3 linked regions of the Xenopus tropicalis genome follow. The protein of the gene in region 2 binds, or shares a complex with, the protein of the main gene of each other region. Links are inferred from orthologs where the notes say so. Each region holds a gene or a part of one and is shown on either strand. Other genes may lie near its edges. The genes, in order: pigp, pigc and pigy.

The links.
Region 1: pigc (region 2) and pigp share a complex: the UniProt entries of both Homo sapiens proteins name them as parts of the glycosylphosphatidylinositol-N-acetylglucosaminyltransferase (GPI-GnT) complex. The link is inferred for Xenopus tropicalis from reciprocal best matches to the Homo sapiens genes PIGC and PIGP.
Region 3: pigc (region 2) and pigy share a complex: the UniProt entries of both Homo sapiens proteins name them as parts of the glycosylphosphatidylinositol-N-acetylglucosaminyltransferase (GPI-GnT) complex. The link is inferred for Xenopus tropicalis from reciprocal best matches to the Homo sapiens genes PIGC and PIGY.

The regions. Positions count from the first base shown.
Region 1 is NC_030678.2:12,648,920-12,655,043, reverse strand, and holds the end of pigp (phosphatidylinositol N-acetylglucosaminyltransferase subunit P), read right to left. Parts: intron 5,999-6,124; coding exon 5,926-5,998; intron 5,224-5,925; coding exon 5,105-5,223; intron 3,126-5,104; coding exon 3,013-3,125; 3' UTR 2,064-3,012; downstream 1-2,063. UniProt on the Homo sapiens protein: Part of the glycosylphosphatidylinositol-N-acetylglucosaminyltransferase (GPI-GnT) complex that catalyzes the transfer of N-acetylglucosamine from UDP-N-acetylglucosamine to phosphatidylinositol and participates in the first step of GPI biosynthesis.
Region 2 is NC_030680.2:107,288,453-107,296,085, forward strand, and holds the start of pigc (phosphatidylinositol N-acetylglucosaminyltransferase subunit C), read left to right. Parts: upstream 1-3,424; 5' UTR 3,425-3,450; intron 3,451-7,633. Other genes in the region: suco (SUN domain-containing ossification factor), read right to left, coding at 2,848-2,897. UniProt on the Homo sapiens protein: Part of the glycosylphosphatidylinositol-N-acetylglucosaminyltransferase (GPI-GnT) complex that catalyzes the transfer of N-acetylglucosamine from UDP-N-acetylglucosamine to phosphatidylinositol and participates in the first step of GPI biosynthesis.
Region 3 is NC_030677.2:67,792,745-67,800,209, forward strand, and holds pigy (phosphatidylinositol N-acetylglucosaminyltransferase subunit Y precursor), read right to left. Parts: upstream 4,373-7,465; 5' UTR 4,175-4,372; intron 3,193-4,174; exon of another isoform or gene 3,150-3,192; coding exon of another isoform or gene 2,932-3,149; intron 1,634-2,931; coding exon of another isoform or gene 1,483-1,633; 5' UTR 1,447-1,482; coding exon 1,231-1,446; 3' UTR 942-1,230; downstream 1-941. UniProt on the Homo sapiens protein: Part of the glycosylphosphatidylinositol-N-acetylglucosaminyltransferase (GPI-GnT) complex that catalyzes the transfer of N-acetylglucosamine from UDP-N-acetylglucosamine to phosphatidylinositol and participates in the first step of GPI biosynthesis.

The sequences.
Region 1 (6,124 bases), on a different chromosome or scaffold from region 2:
TAAGAAACAAATCAGACAACTTGGTGTCCATGAATGCTGGGCTGTAAAGCTGGCCATACACGCACCGATACTATCGTACGAAACCTCGTTTCATACGATATTCGGTGCGTGTACGGCAAGTCAGTGAGTCGACCGATATTGCAGGAAGCTGCTGATATCGGACGACTCGCCGATCGGCCAGGTTAGAAAATTTTGATCGGGCGCCATAGGCGCCTGACCAAAATCTGCCGTCAGGGCTGAATCGGCAGAAGGAGGTAGAAATCCTATTGTTTCTACCTCCTTATCTGCTGTTTCAGCCCTGACTGTGTGTGGCGGATCTGACGATGTTTCGTGCGACCGATGGTCGCACGAAACATCGTCAGATCGCCACGTGTATGGCCAGCTTTAGACCAAGATCAGTCCATGCAGGGTTACAGAATGAAAATGCCCATTACTGCCCCCTATTGATAGTATGGGCTTCTCTTGCTTCTGTAGACACACAGGTCAAGGCACCTAACTGGGTATATAGAGCAGGCAACTTGCTGACACCCTCTGGTTTAATCCAGTTTGGGTTCTAACCACTGTCCAACTGGGCTGACTGGGCCCATCCCCATTTTAAAGCATCCAGCCAACTCCCCGGCGATTTGGGTTCCTTTTGCGGTAACCGAAAACCAATCCCTTTCACCTCCAAACTCGGGTCTATGTATAATATATTAAAAAAATATATATATATGTTTGTGTGCGTGTGTGAACTTCCCCTTTAAAAAAACAAATCACCCACACAGACTGTTTAGAATGCAGCAGAAGAATGATCTCTCCTTCAGAGACTTCAAAATCAAAGTGGCCGTTCTCATAGGGAGTTTTTATTGGTCCAGTCTGTCTAAAAAGGGGAAACCCTAATGGCTGATTCATCACTGATAGGATCTGACTGTGACTTACAGATCTTTCATCTAAAGAGCAGCCAAGGGTCTTTGTGTGTTTTTCCCAGAGGTTTCACCCTTGCAAACTAGGAAGGTAATGGTCACATATTAAACAGGTAAAATATATATCATTATATGTGTAGGGCACTCCATTGCCCCAGTGCAGCAAGGCAGACACTTACAGTTTATTCAATGGGCCACTCAGAGGGCTTGATGGAGGAAAGTGTATTTATATCATCACAAGTCCTGCATTTTCCTTTGCAAGGAGTCTCCTAATTGCATTACTATATAGCCAAGCTTATTATATTGTCAGATTAAGGTTTATAAAGATGTGCAGCCCCTGCCAATTCTACAGTGTGGCAGTTGGGGGCAGGAAGGCCTGCAGGCTCATTAAGGGACATGACAGAGGTAACTGGGGACACATTTGTATGCAACTATCTTTGAAGAAATAATTATCAGCATGGCTATATGCAGAGCTGGGCCAAATGCAATGGGCAAGCCCCCAGCCGTCATCTGCTAGCCAACCCCACCTCTCTGCTCACTGATTCTGATGCGCAGAGCCATAGAGGTATGGTGGCCATACACGGGACGATTCGCTTGTTTGGTGAGGTCGCCAAGCGAGCGGATCTTCTCCCGATATGTGGGAGATATTAGGCTAATTTGATCTTACGGCCCTAGGGCCAGATTCCATCGGATAAGGGAACGCATCAATGAGCCGATGTGGGGGGCCGGCTGGGGGTTCTTCTGGTATTCTGGCAGGCCCATGGACACTGCCAGAACTAGGGGGAGGCAGAAAAGGCACGTGCCTAGGGTGCAACAGTAAGGGGCACTAGGTAGGTACCTCTTCTGCCTACACCTAGTCTGAGCTCTCTTGCCCCACCTGCACTTGTCACTGCATGTCCCACCCACTTATCAAAGCACATATGCGTGCACTGAGGGGATTGGGGCCCCCTAGGGTGCCCGCACCATTTGGCCTACCTCTGAGGGTGAGAATCTTTAGGACCCTGAAATTCCATTTTTTAATCTCTGAAAGGTAAGCATGGTTGGTGGCATTGGAAAGGCTGCTTCAGGGTGCAGAATCGTACCTGGCCAGGCCAGTCCCACCCAGTTATTAAACCCCTTTAGAATATCATGTACATATAAATCATAAACATTCTCGTTTGCTATGTAGCACAGTGTTGCTTTAATGGATTTTGAATAAAACCAAGTGTGTTGAAATACAAATAGCAGGCCTCATGTTTGTATATACAGTGCAAATGACAATACTATAACGAAAGGGATAAAAGGCACGGCAGCTTCTCTGATCATACAGGAAAAACTTAAAGGGAAAGTCCACCTTTATATTAGCATTCAGTATGGATCCATTCTGAGCAAATTTGTAACTAGTCTCTATTAGTTATTTGGTATAGCTTGTCACAGAGAAACCTATCTAGTTTGCCATCTCTGACCCCACCAACCAGAAAAAGAAATCAATTTGGAGGGTTCAATTGTATTTGGGGTGGCCACCTGGCCAGTAAAAAAAATGCTCAAAGTTTTAATAGGAAAAAAACATAAAAAATCTAGGAAAGCCAGCATTTGTTTTTCCAGAAAAGGCAACAACCCTAATTTTACTGCTCTTATTTTTAGATGTTTATCTTTCTTTTCTAGCTCTCTCCTATTGATCTTCCATCATACTGATTTTTAAACTGCTAATTGGTTGCTAAGATCATTGAGCACTAGCAACCAGATAGCAGCTGAAATTCCAAGCCTCAGTGTTGCAGAGCAAAAAATGGTTTGTATGGGTTTTCAAAATGACAAATATTAAATAATCACTAATTGCAAACTGTCTTAGAATTCCAATAAAAGTGAATTTCAAGGTAAACTGCTTTTTTTTTTATATAGCAAGTGAAGTGGCAGCACAGTATAAATGTGACTGGGAGCATAGACCTCTGCAGAATCTGCTGTTCCCACATCTCCAAGTCTGCGCATTTGCACCTCTAAATAAAACACTTGCACCCATTGGTTTATGGGGCCCAAGTAAAAAAATAAATAAATAAAACACAGTCCAGAAATATATAGCTACATGAATTATCATAAAGAATGGGGTTTTGTGGGTCCGAAGGATCTTCCGGCATCATCTCTCAGTGAGGAAGAACATTTTATTAACCTCGCTGATGGAAATGTCCCTCAGTGCTGGGATGGCATCCTCTTGGCACGCCTTCTCTTGCTGATTTTTGGCATAAGAGTCTGGAAATTGTGGTAAAAATTTACAAATTACAACACTCAGTGGCACTGAAAGAACAGGTACCGCTGATCATCTATTAGCTCTGAGCGGCACTGGGAGTTCTTGAGGTTGCCCATAACTGCAATAAACTGCACTAGGATATTGGCCAATCTAGTGGCTGCTTTCAGTCTGTATACCCAGCATGCATTGCAATCCTTGGGCTGACAATGTAGCACCAAGGGAGGTTATTTACAGAATATATATATATATATATATATACAGTGGTGTGAAAAACTATTTGCCCCCTTCCTGATTTCTTATTCTTTTGCATGTTTGTCACACAAAATGTTTCTGCTCATCAAAAACCGTTAACTATTAGTCAAAGATAACATAATTGAACACAAAATGCAGTTTTTAAATGAAGGTTCACGTTATTAAGGGAGAAAAAAAACTCCAAATCTACATGGCCCTGTGTGAAAAAGTGATTGCCCCCCTTGTTAAAAAATAACTTAACTGTGGTTTATCAATTTCAATTTTCAATTTCAATATCAATTTCTGTAGTCACCCCCAGGCCTGATTACTGCCACACCTGTTTCAATCAAGAAATCACTTAAATAGGAGCTACCTGACACAGAGAAGTAGACCAAAAGCACCTCAAAAGCTAGACATCATGCCAAGATCCAAAGAAATTCAGGAACAAATGAGAACAAAAGTAATTGAGATCTGTCAGTCTGGTAAAGGTTATAAAACCATTTCTAAAGCTTTGGGACTCCAGCGAACCACAGTGAGAGCCATTATCCACAAATGGCAAAAACATGGAACAGTGGTGAACCTTCCCAGGAGTGGCCGGCCGACCAAAATTACCCCAAGAGCGCAGAGACAACTCATCCGAGAGGCCACAAAAGACCCCAGGACAACATCTAAAGAACTGCAGGCCTCACTTGCCTCAATTAAGGTCAGTGTTCACGACTCCACCATAAGAAAGAGACTGGGCAAAAACGGCCTGCATGGCAGATTTCCAAGGCGCAAACCACTTTTAAGCAAAAAGAACATTATGGCTCGTCTCAATTTGCTAAAAAACATCTCAATGATTGCCAAGACTTTTGGGAAAATACCTTGTGGACCGACGAGACAAAAGTTGAACTTTTTGGAAGGTGCGTGTCCCGTTACATCTGGCGTAAAAGTAACACAGCATTTCAGAAAAAGAACATCATACCAACAGTAAAATATGGTGGTGGTAGTGTGATGGTCTGGGGTTGTTTTGCTGCTTCAGGACCTGGAAGGCGTGCTGTGATAGATGGAACCATGAATTCTACTGTCTACCAAAAAATCCTGAAGGAGAATGTCTGGCCATCTGTTCGTCAACTCAAGCTGAAGCGATCTTGGGTGCTGCAGCAGGACAATGACCCAAAACACACCAGCAAATCCACCTCTGAATGGCTGAAGAAAAACAAAATGAAGACTTTGGAGTGGCCTAGTCAAAGTCCTGACCTGAATCCTATTGAGATGTTGTGGCATGACCTTAAAAAGGCGGTTCATGCTAGAAAACCCTCAAATAAAGCTGAATTACAACAATTCTGCAAAGATGAGTGGGCCAAAATTCCTCCAGAGCGCTGTAAAATACTTGTTGCAAGTTATCGCAAACGCTTGATTGCAGTTATTGCTGCTAAGGGTGGCCCAACCAGTTATTAGGTTCAGGGGGCAATTACTTTTTCACACAGGGCCATGTAGGTTTGGATTTTTTTTCTCCCTAAATAATAAAAACCCTCATTTAAAAACTGCATTTTGTGTTTACTTGTGTTATCTTTGACTAATAGTTAAATGTGTTTGATGATCAGAAACATTTTGTGTGACAAACATGCAAAAGAATAAGAAATCAGGAAGGGGGCAAATAGTTTTTCACACCACTGTATATATATATATATATATATATATATATATATATACACACACACACACATATACACTAGATTCTATATACTGTAGCCAGAGTCCCACTTACCTGTTACAGTGTGTATGGAGTCTAGGGGAGCAGTGCTCATCATGTTTATACCAAACAGAAAGATATAGGCGATGCCGAACACAACGAGGAGGTAGACGGGCACTGCCACAGCCCAATATCTATAAACACAATTTGTAAAAGAAACTGAAATGCCAGACAACAAAGGCATTACTATCAGTCTGCAATTACTATACTGTAGGTAGGACTTTGTGGCTGCACACAATATGTATCCTGTTATCCTACTGACATACTGTGCCACATTTACTAACAAATATGCTCTAATTTGTGCAGAGTAACTGATCACAGATGTGCATTCATTCTTCTGTCTGCAGGAGTCTGATTAAAGCTAATTGTTTTACTGAAGGCTTTGGGTGCAATGGGGCTAATATACCTGACAGGGTTGGACTGGGCCGCCGGGACACCAGGAGCAGCCCAGACCCGACCCTTGCCAGCGCTCCCCTGGCCTACGGTGTTCCTCCCCTGATGCGTTAAACTTAGGCGCGTTTAGGGGAGGACGTTGGGCAGAGCCACTGTGGGTGGTTAGGGGGTGTAGTGGGGGCCCCTAGGGGATGCAGGGGATGCGGCTGGCAGGGCACCTCCAGTGCCCCTGGGTCGGCAGCCCCGGTGGGCCCTGCACCCCCCAGTCCGACCCTGATGCCCGATGTTAGTAAATGATCCCCTTCTGTGTATCTGGGGCTACAAAGACTTTTCAGACTGACACTATACCATGTAAACCTGCAGCCATCCTGCTTTGCCCAGAGAGAAAGGGAACACAGTGCATACAGTACAGCTATGTGTATAGTGCTTACATCAGTACTTACTTTTGGGGCCAGTACGTCAGTCCTAATGAGTGTAACCAAGACTCTGGGATGAAGCCCCACGTTAGGTACAGAACTGAAAGTACAAAACAGCAGCTCAGTCACAAATACCAGAAAGACCAATTAAATAAGTGCAGTAGGGTGCAAATGCCCAAAAGTAACTGTATCCTAGATTGTGACCAGTGTTTTGTGGCATAGCTGA
Region 2 (7,633 bases):
TTTGCAAAAAGTATACCTAGTCTCCCACAACCATGTGAAAAAGTTTATTATGGTCTGATGAGACCAAGGTTGAACTATTTGCCCATAATTCCAAAAGGTATGTTTGGCGCAAAAATAACACAGCAGCTTATCACAAGAACACCATACCCATAAGTGAAGCTTGGTGGATGAAGCACTATGCTTTGGGGCTGTTTTTCATAAACTGGAACTGGTACTTTAGTCAACATTAATTAAATCATAAATAGCTCTAAGTATCAACTTATTTTGTCACAAAAAATTCAAGCATCTGCTAGGAAGATAAACTTCAACTTTTAGGGCTCTGGCACACGCGGGCGACTAATCTCCCAGAGTTGCCATGACCCGCCATCCCGCCGGCGAACATGTAAGTCGCTGGCGGGATGGCACACGCGGCAGCGCGATTTCCCGATTTGGCGAAAAAGACTCGAGAGTCTTTTCCGGCGATTTAGGGAAATCGCGCCGCCGCGTGTGCCATCCCGCCGGCGACTTACATGTTTGCCGGCGGGATGGCGGGTCATGGCAACTCGGGGAGATTAGTCGCCCGCGAACAGGGAGTTTTGTCGCGGGCGACTAATCTCCCCCGTGTGCCAGAGCCCTTAGCATGACAACAACCCATAGCATACATCTAAATCAACAAAGCAATGGCTTCAAAGGACGATCAATGTTCTGGAATGACCAACAAGCCAGAGTCCAGACCTTAATCTGATTAAACGTCTGCAGCATGAAGATACCCTCTTAATTTGACAGATCTGGAAAACTTTTGCAAGAAGGTGTGGGTAAAAACTGCAAAGTCCAGATGTGCCAAACTGACGCTCTTACCTAAAAAGACTGAGTGCTGTAATAAAATCAAAAAGGTGCTTTAATTGCACTAATGCAACCATGGTTTTAAAGGATTTCTTTTTTTTCCAATAAACAGATTCTGATTTGTTTGTATAGATAATTTTGCAATAAAGGTGAAATACATTCTGCCATTTTGCAGGCTGTAGACTTTTTATTTTCAGTGTACAATTAAAATCAAAACAATATTTTATAACCGATAATCCCAAACAATATATTTGTACTATGGATATCAAGTTTGTTGATCAGGCTGGTTTGGAAATGTAATCAGCCAATCCCATCATGTCAGTCAGTGTATGGTACAGCAGCAGATGAGGAAAAGAAGGTCCTCCTTCTGACCCAAACAAGCAGAACAATAGAAAGATGGCCCCTCATATGGTATACATCCGTTTGCCCCCACAGGTTAGCTGGTCAAATACCATACATTGTCAAGCTTAACTCTTTATTTAACTTTATTATGCTCAGCCCTTACATTACTATGGCAAAACAGTTGTTGATAATCCCTGACAGCAGCTGTCCCAAATACTATGGGGTCAAAAGAGACAACCAACAAAAACCTGTTTTTGTAAAAAAAAAAAAGTAATTCTAAACATTTTTCAATTATTCACTATTGACTATTGGTAAATGTAACTGAAAAAAAGTATTTGATTATCATTTTCTGTTCTTTGCACTTTCTTCTGATTTTGACTTTTGAAACAATGTAACAGAAATCACTTCTAATCCAGGTCTTTTAAACAGCTGCCTTTGATACATAGTTTCAGGAGTCACAGTTCGAAGTAGTGGATATATGGAGCCATGCACATCCTGCTTTGAATTGCAATTACATTTGCAAATAAACCTAAAAACACTGAAAAGTTTCAATTAATGTATATTAGAAAGTTTTTTTCCCATTAGTCAATATATGAATTTGCCAACCCCGGCATCCCTTAAAATGATACCAACTGCTGCATTCATAATCACATTCCCTGAAACTAAATACAACAGAATGCTGTCAATCTGACTCAGCAGCAGTTCCAACTTCTATCTATGACAGTGTAGGCATTCCCTAGTGAATAAAAATCTAAATCAAAATAATTATATTAAATGCAAATAAGACTTTAATATAAAAGATACAGGATATTCCAGGTCTGGGAAAACCAATGAGACCCAATTCTGGTTCCCCCAGCATAACTATAAACAGAAGTCTTTCATAATCATAGGCAGTCAGAAATATAATGAGCAAATGTAAAGATATTCAAAATAATTTTTTTATCACAGCCCATAGGAAGATACATTACAACAAATGAACATGGGGCAATAACAAGCAGCTTGTGACCCACAATTTGCAGATCTTCCAATTATAACACACAGCTGTCATTTAGGGAAAGTCCTACAGAAACTATTTCTGATGGTATCTCTCAGCTAAACATGTTGCTGGACTATGCTTTCAAGCTCTGCCAAAATAAAAGCCAAGAGGTATTCTCTGTGTACTAACGAAAGGAAAAGTTTTCTTAGCTAGCCAGTTATTATTTAAGGGGCAAAACGGTTTTGGCATAATGAAAGAAAGTAGAACTCTAAGCAATCTTTGACATGCATGCTGCTACATTGTTTCAGGAGTCACAGCCAGCAGTGCAGAGAATATAAGCAGCAGGGCAGCTACAACTTTCAGCCAGCAATTACATTTAGAAATAGCTTAAAAATCACTGAGTGTTTTAAATCAATGTATACTGTAAAGCTGCTGGGAATTACAATTTCATTATACATTTTAGGAGAAGATTCCATTTAATTCATCCATATGAACATGAAGAAAAAGTGAAATTATTGTTGGTGTAATGGCATAGTGTTACATTTATACTAAGACCAGGACTCCTAGGACACTGCTTTTCACACAATGATGGGAGACCCCCCCCCCCCTTCATTCAGGGTACATGACAGCGAGACTACCTGTCAGCGAGTAACAGCAATGTGGGCATTTACGCTCCAACAGACAGGCGCAGGGCCCTAAGCACTCACCATGAGCCAACCAGAAAGAGGCAGAATATAATAAACACCCGTTTCGTCATCTTTCCCGGACGTATTTTCTCATCCTCGCTGGCATTTCCCGTGTACTTTAATGAGCACTAGTCGTACAAGCCACCATTGAAAATGTCCCCGTTGGTGTATGGCGCCGGGGAGAGCCGTGCCACTGTTTCCCCTACTTCCCCTTCGTAAAAGCACTGCCCACACCACGCTACAATCCTCCAACGCGGCCGATCCCCTGCGAATGCCTCCAACTGCACAGCCAGCTTAGGCGGAAGGAGACGCGTCACTCCGGCCGAGGTTAGCGAATCAGACGTAGCCTTTACAACCCTCCCCCTTCAAATGCATTGGTTTGGTCCAGAAAGGATGCCTCAGCTCTTTTGAACAACAAGGCCTCTGTAATGGACTGGGGGCGGAGACTCGTGTTAAGCGAATTGGAATCAAGGCGCCCCTGGCAACTATTGTGGCCTTTCCTGTTTCTAGTGAAAGGGTTCTGACAGCCAATAGCATTTCAAGATACGACCGCTCTTGATTGGCTGCTCAGCCAAAGGTTGCAAGGGGCTGGAGAAACGCGGAAGCCTGGCTTTAGGAAATCAGGTACCCACTTACTGGCAGCTTTCTTTTGAGTTGGTAGCTACCCACAGGGTCTCTCCATTGTTTTTCCCTACATTGTAACCTGCCTACTGTCACTGCGGTTTGCTATACATTTCATTTTGTTTGTTGCGACAATATTAGCCTTGACATATGGGGTGGGGGGAATATGGCTAGTGCTTCTCTGCGTAGGTGTCCGCACAGAACGGCAGAAAGTAGGTTCCATAAGTCAAAGGCTTGCTACTGTAGTGTGCGGAAAAAAGTACAAAATTGTAGTTTGCAACAGCCCTGCACTTTGTAAGTGAGCTCTTGAATATGTAACTGCTGCCTCCTTTATATACTGTCTCTTAAGTTGCCAGTTGGTAGTCTTGCTCCTTCTCTCTCTCTCTCATCTATATATATATATATATATATATATATATATATATTACAGTCCACAAAATTTTCAGCACACCAAACCCCTAATATAAATCACCTGGGTGCTACCTCCATGTGTCTAATTATCCAAAAATTGGGTGCACACCAGGATATTTTTTAAAGATTAAAACGTTACTTTTATTTAAACATGCTGTTAAAACAGGCCAACGTTTCGGTCTCCTCCTAAGACCATTATCATTATCAAGGGTCTTGGAGCCGGGTTGGAGCTGCAGAGTGCCATTGAGCCCTATGGGAGACTTTCCTTGGGCCAGGTTGGAGCTGCAGAGTGCCATTGAGCCCTATGGGAGACTTTCCTTGGGCCAGGTTGGAGCTGCAGAGTGCCATTGAGCCCTATGGGAGACTTCCCTTGGGCCGGGTTGGAGCTGCAGAGTGCCATTGAGTCCTATGGGAGGCTTCCAAAATCATGCTAAGTCTGAAAGTTTTGCCCGCAGTTTACGAGCGCTCAATACGAAAAAGTCGCGACAAGATACGAGCAAATCGTAACGGCTACGAAAAAGTCGCGACAATTCGTGCAAGTCGTAATGGTTACGAAAAAGTCGCGATAATTTACGAAAAGTCGTAACGGCGACGAAAAAATCGCAAAATGTTCGTTTTCCAATCTGAATTTTTCCCCTTCGGATTCATGGGTTAGTAAATCAGCCCCTATGTTTGAGGCAAGGCTAAAATTTAGCAGTTGCCTTTCATTAGATGGAATTATCCAAGTTACTGTGTAATAGGCAGGTTAATACATTCCTTAGGTCTGTTGTTTTAATGAAGAAACCGTTAAGAAAAAAATAAGAAAAGGAAACCAGTTTCATTTTAGCACTTCCTGTTCCACTAAGAAGCTCCTGTTCAAACCCTGCACCTTAGGGAAGGGAGGGGATTGTATATTTGTTTGAAGGTAAATAAGGATCTCTGAACAAATTGCCCTGTCTATAAAGGAGGGGCTTTTCAAACAGTGCTTTATAATGGAAAAAAATTAGGAGTATATGGCAAAATACATTTTAAAGCAAAACTATACCTCCAGAATGAATACTTAACCAACAGATAGTTTATATTATGTTAATAATATGGGCAGAACTCTGCCCAATAATTGGCTGATGTGGCCTAGCATGTATGTGTGCCTTGGCTTGTTTGTGTGCACCGTTAATACTATGATCCAAGGAGGCGGCCATTACTTCTTAAAATGGTAATTTTCTATTTAGCAGTACCCAATAGCACATATTGCTAAAAAAAAGTATATTTTTATGAAAATGGTTTATTTAGATGAAGCAGGGTTTTACATATGAGTTGTTTTATGCAATATATTTTTATAGAGACCTACATTGTTTGTGGGTATAGTTTTCCTTTAAGCATAAGTTGTTTTTTTTTTTTGTTTTTTTTATTGTGCTCATTTTTTGCCAATGTGTTTTAGACATATATTTTCCTTTTTAAATCTGTGTTTGTCCCTTGAATCTTTTACACTTGAAAAAGACCCTCTGTTTGGTCAGAACAACCCATGTTACTTAATGGATTTGCAGTGTAGTTCCGGCAATGTATATGCATGCTTCCTCCGCAGAAGAATTGTACTGTATATGTCAATGTCAAATGTGTGAACCAACACCTGGTTTCTTCCTACAAAAATTTGATAAGCTGCAGTCCAGAGCAAGATAGTTATTTATTCCCATTAACAAAGGTGCCCGGAATAGTGCCCAGACTAATTATACCACATGGCAAACCTAAAGAAGTCACTTACAATAAATTGTTTACTTTTGAGCTTCATCTGACTGATTTTTTTTTTTTTTTTTTACATTATAAAGAGTCTGAAGTTTTCATAAAGATTAAATTGTATTCTACTTTTCCATTTCGTTATAAAATAAATGTGCCTACTAACATTTAGCAAAATGTCTCTTGATTACTGTTTAGCCTGCTTTGTTTATTAAGTACATAGAACATAACTACCTTTGAAAAAAGCTCAGTGCAACGTGGCAGTGCTGTTATCAGGTGGAGGATTAAAAACACAGGTCATTTTGATCTGCAAATAGAATATTTCCAGGTCAGTAAATCTCTGCCACTACCCCCTGCCTGTCTCACACCAGAGTAAACACAATTCAGAAGAGAAACATATTCCATGAAGCTGTTAAAGCATATGCATTTTGCTCATGGTATTATAAAGGTAGCGTAGGACATTGCTTCTTTTATTTTTACCATATCTTTTGTGTGATCAGAAGAAAGAAATTCCACATTTTCTGTGTTGATTTTCTCTAATATTAGGAGTTAGTTTGACTTTTGTCATTGTGAGATAATGGGATTTCAAATTGGGTAATTTAAATTGCTGACTGTTGCTTTGGGTGACCACACTTGTGCAGATTTGCCCATTGTTATTCAGTGAGCCGGAATTGCACATAGCGCATATTCCACTTCACATAAAAATGTTACATCTTATTATACCAAGTTCTTCTACATGTTAATTCATGAAACTAGCTTTTGTACAAGAAATAGAACAGAGGCTTATAATCTGTTTGCTTGCAGCAGAATTATTTTAGGGCACCCTAAACCTCTTGAGCCCCACAGCTTACAAATGCTGTAGTCAAAAGCACTTCCTATTGGCCCACACTTTGTTGCCTTTATTATTGTCTGAAGCACAATTGCAGTTGCAGCAAAATGTGGCATCACTGCAGTGTGAAGGCTTCTATAAGTACACTCCAGTTTTAAGATGGCCATACATGATCAAATTTTAGTCTTCTTCCAGTGAACATTCGGATATGCATTGTATGTTTAAATGCAACGATCTAAAACTAAAATTCAGACTAAAATTGTAGGATAAAGCCATTGGACAATGTTTTGTATGTGGGAAAGTTGGCTAATCGTATGAAAGTAACTTTCTGGGAATGCATTTTAGGTCCCCCAAGGACACAGATGCACAGATTTTATCTTCATCCAACTTAAATTTTCTAACCTGTCCGATCGACTAAATTACTGATTGCTATGGTATGAAAATTATCAGGACACTAATTCGTAGCCCACACACGGTTTGAAAACCATACGAAAATGCAATGTATGGCTAGCTTAAGATGGGAGCATGTCAGCCTTTGTTTATTTGGAGTGAAAATAATGTACATTTGGCCAATGTAGTAAACAGGATCTATGTAGCTATCAGGTAGTTTATCCATAGATGAATATTGAATCAAGTTCATGACTAAAGTATCCATCTGACTGAGTTGGAGCAGTTATTTGTACCACTAGACTTTGATCGGTGCATTGGTAGATCTGAGAATATGTTCAGTTACTTAACCAAAGCCACGTAGTTAGCTTGTCAGCCTGATGATAAGAAGGATGACAAATGCTTGCCTAAGTTTAATCTCAGATACTAAGATAAACAGAGTGAACTGAAAACAAAGTACATTAATGTGGGAAAATGTTTAACTGTGAGGTAATGGTGATGCCTTAAATGACTGCCAAAAAACGTTTATTCTTTACAGATAATTAGCCACTCACCATTCCAACTGCATTATCCATTTTTGATGTCATACAAGTGTTGGGAAAAAATGCTTGCATATTCATGTGTGTGCTTATACCTTTTGATAAAGCATCCCATTCAAAAACTTTTGTAGAATACTAAGTCGCTTATACAATTCAGTTTGATAATAAAATCATCAAAACTGCATAATAATGGGATAAAAAGCTTGTTATATTCAGCTGTTCAGGACATATAAGTCCCATGACATTAGGGCTTTGGCGTTGGTTTGGCTATAAGAACCACACTGTGGATTAGGATAGTTTTGAATCTAGC
Region 3 (7,465 bases), on a different chromosome or scaffold from region 2:
CAGGTATAGCGCTTGCATGCAGGTCGCGTTTTTTGGCCCAACCTCTGCTGCATGCCAGGAGAAGCTATACCTGTCAGTGCAGCAACAGGAGATGCATATTGGAGCCGATCCACTTCTCTCTGCCTGACTGAAAACCGCAGGCAAAGAGAAGCAGAGCAAATGCTTTGTGTGACCATGGCCTAAGCCCATCACAAGAAAGCATTTCAATCAATGTATTGGAAGAATAGTGCCATGTTGTGATAAAATGTGATAACTCACTGCCTGTATCTGTACATTCCCAGCATGCCTCTTTTGAACTAAGCTCTCTCTAGCACAGGCAGCAGTCGATTCAAGGTTCTCTCTGCCAGAGTTTAGAGGCCTGTGGCTATTTGCACAATGCCCCATTCTGGCAAAGTGTAAAAAACAGCCAACTGTGTCTTTTTCCACTTTGCAGCCATTATAAATATCCCCTTTTATCTTTTGGTTTCATGACATTGTCAATAGTCACCTACAATGATTTCCCTTCCACATGTAAAGTAGATAACCACTACTTGATGAAACCTCATGTTCTCCCAGAAGGGCCTGCATGGATGTATATACTGAATGTATAAACTAAGGCATAAAAGGGGTGGTTCACCTTTAGGTTAACTTTTAGTATGTTATAGAACTGGCATTCATTTCTTTATAGTTTCTGAATTATTTGCTTTTCTCCTCAGTCTCTTTTCAGCTTTCAAATGGAAGTCACTGACCCCAGCAGCCAGCACTTCATTACTGTCAATAATAATATAGAAAAGGGACTTGGAATGACGATTTTAAATGACTTTAAAGAAAGCAAGCAGGGTAGGACTGGGCCCCAGATCTCCCTTCCCCAACGTGCTAAAAGTAATTTTAATTTACACGTGCGGCAGCCCCGGTGAGCCCTGCACCCCACACTCCGACAATTATTGCATCAGTAACTAGGATGCATTTTTTGCTTTCAATTTTATTGTTAAGCACATAAGCTGCCAGAGAGCAGCTCCTATTAACTTACAAATGGGGCAGCACCCAGGTAAGTGTACCTTTAGGAATAGAGTCTTTAAAGGAGCTCAAATAGAAAGGAAAGTACAAAAATCAAAACAATTACATTCATTTTATTTCTATTAAATGTTAATATTTCTATGCAAAGCTGTAACCGACCAATCTGAAAACATGTTCTCCATATCTTATCTGAAAGCAGAAGGATGAATGAGATATTTTCTGTTCATTTATGCATTAATTGTGCCTAAAGAGCTTGAGTCCCATCCAAGTCCACAAATGAAAAAACACATAGACAGGCAAAGTGATGGGAAGCAGAAGGCTGTAAAAACACAAGCTTGCTGTACTGGTGCATCCATTTGGGAAATCCTCTTCCACTGAGGCAGAGTATAATAACCCTGTCAAAGACACCAGAGGAATGAGCACAGTCAGCACAGGGAGGGAGAAAAACATGGCTTCTTTATTGTTTGCAGGAACAAATCCAAAAAACTATGTTGTCTGCTCTGTGTCTGGGCTCTCAGGCTTCTGATCTTTATGAATCATGCGGGCATCCTGTGGTATCATATTTGGGATGCCATCAACAATTGGGTAAGCTATACCCAGCTCGTCATTAATTAACTCATTGGTAGATTCTTCATATCTAGGGAAAAAAAATGACATATAAACAATCAGATCTGGATCAATGAATGGGGAATCACAGCCGTTTATATTTAATGTCGGGAAATTTGATCACCAAAATCAGTACATTTCAAACCACAAGCGTCATTCCATAATCAATATTATATATATATATATATATATATATCGAGCCAAGGGTGGCACACCGCTTCAATCCTTGTCCCGGGTGCACGGTAAAAGAGTTTAAATATTGAAAAAAAGACCAGCAACACCGGATCTATTGCAAACAATCGATTATATATTGAAAAATACATGAACAGCCAACGTTACGTTTCGGTCCCCGTCGGGACCTTTCTCAAGACCGAAACGTAACGTTGGCTGTTCATGTATTTTTCAATATATAATTGATTGTTTGCAATAGATCCGGTGTTGCTGGTCTTTTTTTCAATATATATATATATATATATATATATATATATATATATATATATATAATATATATAAAATGCATTTAGGAGTTCTAGTTAAGCTTGAAATAGCAAAGAGACATCTGCTTGCTGTTAATAAACTGAATATTTCCCTATACAGAGTACAGGCTTAGGTGTATGGGACACCCTGTTCCCCTGCTGACCTGACTGACTACTTTGAGACTCAAATAAAATGCAGTAGACTGTCCTCAGCCTGCCTTCTCCAGTTACCACAATTCCCCGCACATATAATAAGGAATAGGGAAAATAACATCACTGGGCAATGCATTGTGGGTAATGTAGTTTCTGAGTGCTGTCTGTAAGATGTGGAGAAGTTGTTACAATTTGTAACATCAGTGTTTTAGTCCCTCTTCTTTAATCCTCTTCCCAGGATTTTAAATAATGCAGAAAGAAGGTTAGAAGGTTTAGCAGAAAGAAACAGTTTACAGTGCTAGGTATATTAGGGGTTTCTGTGTTGGGCTCTTTAACAAATTTTGGTTCATAAACTGTAGTTCCCCTTTCAATAAAAATAAGCAGCGATATTTTCAATATAAGCCCTAACATTTGGCTAATGGTTAATATCAATATAGTCTTTCTAAAGGGTAATTAATTAGAAATTATAAATAGAACAATACGTGGCTATAACTTTAAGTCAGAGAAACCCAAGTCTGATGGGACACTTTGCTCAAACTAGGGGCAGCCCAGCACTGCAGGGGGCAGTATCCTTGTATTGTAGCCCGCACCTCTGGGGGGAAGCAATGCTTAGGATCATAGGTGATCTTAATGACCCCCCCACCCAGCAGCAGTATACTGACTGTATCAGAGCCCTTTAACCCAGTGCCAGGTATTTTACCTCAGCGATTTCCTTGAGAGAGGGCAGACCAGGAATTGCAAGAGGGTAGGATCAAACGTCTTGCTGTCCTTCAGGCTCTGTTCCGGGGATCTGGCAACTAAAGAGCAGTGCAAGGGCCGCAGTGTGACAGCTGGCAGGGCGCCAGTGGGACAGGCAGCGTTTAGTTTCCGCTGGACTAAGGTATTATATGTTCTTCCCCATGCCCTGACAGCCAGCATGTTCCACTTTCTGCACAGAAACTGACTGACACACAACCTTTACTTCCCAGGAACGATTCCACCCCTTCTTCCTGTGCAGCACTATAAACAGCCCCTCACACGACACAAAGCAGTCTCAGTGGTTCCTACCATGTGCATGTAACTATATAAACCCACAGCCTGCAAAACCCTCAAAATATATCTGAAAGAGTTGTGATTAAAGTCTTTCTGTAATGTTAAACTACCTTTACTTGATATTATTGCTTGAATCTGGTTTGCCCTTTGATTCCTGCGATCACAGATATGTAACCCATTCACTGCCAGGCGATTTTTCCTTCTGTATTTGTGTTAAACCAGGTACCAGCCCACATTGCCTGACAGGTGGTAGCAATTTAATTTCTAACAGTGCTCAAAATAAGTTATAGGTAAACAGGAATACAGTAACAGTATTCCTGTTAAAAGCAAAAAGCTTTGTTCACTGTGGAATCCTATGGAATTAAGATGTTGTACTGTGTTAGCCATTAAAAACAATGCAGAAAATCTGATACCTTTTATTGGCTGAGTAAGAAAAATTGCAAGCTGTCCAAGCAGGGTCGGACTGGGCCGCTGGGACACCGGGAAAAGTGGGCCCTGGCGGCCCAGACCCGACCCTTGCCGATGCTCCCCCTGCCCGAGTGCTCCTCCCCTGACGTGTTAAATTTACACGCTCGGGGGAGGATGTCAGGTGGGGGGCCCTGCACGGGCACCTACAAGGCCCCTGGGGCGGGAGCCCCAGTGGGCCCTTCACTCCGCAGTCTGACCCTGTGTTGAAGCACCCAGGCCCCTTCGTCAGGCAAAATACAAATGAAAGCTGGAAAGGCACAGCATATATATAGATCATTGAAAAGGTTCATGGGCAATAAATTGAGAACCCTATAGGACACAGAAACAGGGTCGGGCTGGGGGGTGCAGGGCTCACTGGGGCTTCTGCCTCAGGAACCCCAGCCCCCCCCAACCCCTGCAGAGGCCCCAAACACCCTCCGACCATGCTTCTAAAAGAAACTTACCTGCGGTATGTTGGGGGAGGGTGACGGTGGATCGCGGGAGAGCCCTGGGGGAGGGGATCTGGCCCGCCGGGGACCAACAGGTTTTTTTCCCAGTACCCCAGCAGCCCAGTCTGATACTGCACTGAACAGGTTGCGGGTAGTATAGAATGCTGCAGCACAAAGAATCACAGAGTAGGGAGTAGACAAGGTAGAAAGCTACAGCATGGATAAAACAGGGAGGAAGTCAGGGGGAGTATGGAGCTAGTCGGATGGGGTATGTGACAGGTAGGGAGCTGGGGGGGGGCTTCTGTGGTGGGGAGGGAGTTGAACACACACAGATATCTTAAAATGGACACTAGATAAAGATTGTTCTGTCTGCTGCAATTTCCTGTGCACAGGGACATTTTACATTGCTGTGGCTGGATCTTATCTTCCTTATTTTCCATACAAGTTCAGTTCTTCTTCTGACAAACTTTGGGGGCGATTATTCTGAGACCACACACGGTCCAAAAATTGTTTGAGACTAGGTTTTGTATGATTTTATTGATGTGTGTATGGCCAGTTTGTTCTAAGCCAGCAGTAATTAAAACAACATGGCAGCAGGCTAACCGGCTGCAAGGGGTATTTGATCATTAGGGGAGCTGGTTGTCATGAGTGTGCATAGAGAAGCTGGTGAATTACTGTTAGTGTTGCCACCTTTTCTACAAAAAATACCATTCCTTCTCTTGTTGGTAGCTATCTTGTCTATTAGTACTGTTGGAATCAAATTTCAGTTTTATTGGTCAGGCCTGTAAAATAACTGCTGGGAGGCAACTCTATTCATTATATGTCAGGTAGTGGATAGAAAGTAGGGACGCACCGAATCCAGGATTTGGCCAAGATTATGCTTTTTTCGGCTCCTGGCAGAACTGAATCCGAATCTTAAAAATCACGTGACTTTTTGTCACATAAACACGGAAGTTAGAAATTTAACCCTTCCGTATCCTAATTAGCATATGCTAAAAAAAAAGTGCATTCGGTGCATCCCTAATAGAAAGCCAGCGCGCCCTGGGTGGCTTGACTGTTTTCTGGGTTAGGTGGAGTTTAGGGACCTATTTGGTTAGGACAATCCGATGTGGTTGAATTAACAGAACACTAGGGAGCTGTTTTGGTCCTGCACTAATATTTTTCCTTCAACTCAAGCTATCCCAAGAAAGAATAGTAACGCAGTTATATGCACAGACTAAGGGGAGGATAGGGCCAGCAAGCTACTTGTCAGCAAATTGGGAGATAAGGTCAGAGTCTGTAGCCTGAACAGAATCTGATCTAAAAGGGCAGAAGTCTTTTGAGCACCTCATTGTTAAATGTCCCTCATTAGTAAAAGCCAGTAACTAGCAAGGGATTTTTCAGGAATGACTTTTCTATTTAATTAAGCTACCCCTTAAATAGGGAAACAGTTTCAGGCACAAACATATGGGAGGCTAGGGCTAGCAAGCTTTTGGGGCAGCAAAACGGGAGGTAGGGCTTAAGTCTGTAGCTTGAACCAAATTCCATTTAAAAGGAAATAAGCTTTAAAGTGCACCTATCATCCTCTCATTTTTCCCCTGTAACCTATTTTTGGCACACTTCTGCAGAAATTGGATTACACTCACTTCTGGGAACTGGGTTTTACAGTGCAGTGCCTCCACCTAGTGGTCACTGAGGAGCACACCTCAGGGGGATTCCACTAGAAAAATAAATCACACACAGTTTGCAGAAAAGATAAACTTTATATAGCAATTTAGAAAAATGTAATCACTGTAAAAGGCAAATAATATGACCCTGCTTTGGGAAATGCATGTTTCATTTAACATGCATTTTAACTAAACTTTTGGCACAGTCTCTCCTAGGACACAGTCCCACACTTCTTTCCTGGTGGAAATACCCTTTCCCAGTTCAGTCTCTGGCAAAGTCCCTTCCCCAAGAGTTCTTTAGTTTCCCCTGTAGTGCTACCTGCCCCAAAGTACCACTCCCTTTGGATAGGCAGTTGCTCCACATTGCAGGCACTCGATCAACACCTGCCCTCACACAGGGAACATACAAGGATAACAACAGAAACCCACTGGCAGTTTAACAAGATGCAGAATGCTCTCTCCATTTAGGCTGGAGCTCAAAAACCAGCTGAGCACTCTGTAACCTTTCTGGTTACTGGCAGTGCAATCACCTGTCTGCTGCTCTCTGTTCCTCTGGATCGGGTTCTCTATGGCTGGCACTGCAGCAGGGGCCCTTTAAAAACCTGCCAACCCCACCCTTGGTTTTGGCTCCAAAGCCAGGTACTCTCTGGATCCTCCTTTTCTTCCATAAGTGCACTGGGGCTCCCAGCCAATCGGGTTTTTCTCCAGTCTTCCCGCTAGCTCATTATGCACATGCGCTTGATGTAAGAGTCTTTTCATCGGCGTCGTGATTTTTTCGTATTGAGCAATAGTAAACGGCGGAAAAACCAATCCGTTTTTTTCGCGACGGCGACAAAAAAGTCGTATTGGCGACGAAAAAATTGCGGGACATACGAAAAAGTCGCGACGGTGATGAAAAAGTCACAAAAATACTGATCATTACGAAAACCCGCGTTCGGACGCTTTCGGTCCATTCATGGATTAGTAAATCTGCCCCTTAGTCTCTAAAAATCTCCACACACCCAGCAGTAGACACTAGTACAGGGGTGGGCAAACTACGGCCCGCGGGCCACATCCAGCCCGTTGGCCTTTTTAATCCGGCCCGCTGACTCCGGGTCCCTTTAAATAATTTCTGGGCCCTGATTGGTTGCGCTTCGTGCGTGCTCGTGCGCAGGGGGCGCAACCATAAAAAAGGATGCAGCGGGGAGCCGGGGAACAGACTCAGCGGAACGATGGAGAGAGCTGCAGGTCGGAGAGATGGAGGATGCTGGTGGGGGGGGGAGCTGGTGGGAGGACGTTGGCCCGGCCTGGCCCGCCTGTGAGTAAATGTGGCCCCCGAGCCAAAAACTTTGCCCACCCCTGCACTAGTATATATAAGATACATTTCAAAGGCTCCTGAGGTGAGCATTATAAGTGCAAGGACTGAGCAAAGGTCAGACTTTTAAAATATTTTTCCTTTGTTTTTGTTTTTTTTTGCATTCAGTTTACCATTTTTACTTTTATTTTGAATTAATAAAAGTGAAGTTTTAATATATTAGTGCATCATTCTTCCGAATACTTAATGTAGCAACATTATCCTTTTATGGTACAGGTATGGGACCTGTTATCCAGAATACTTGGGACCTGAGGTTTATGGGTACAGGATAAGTAAACCATTAAAATTAGTTGATGTAAAATTGAT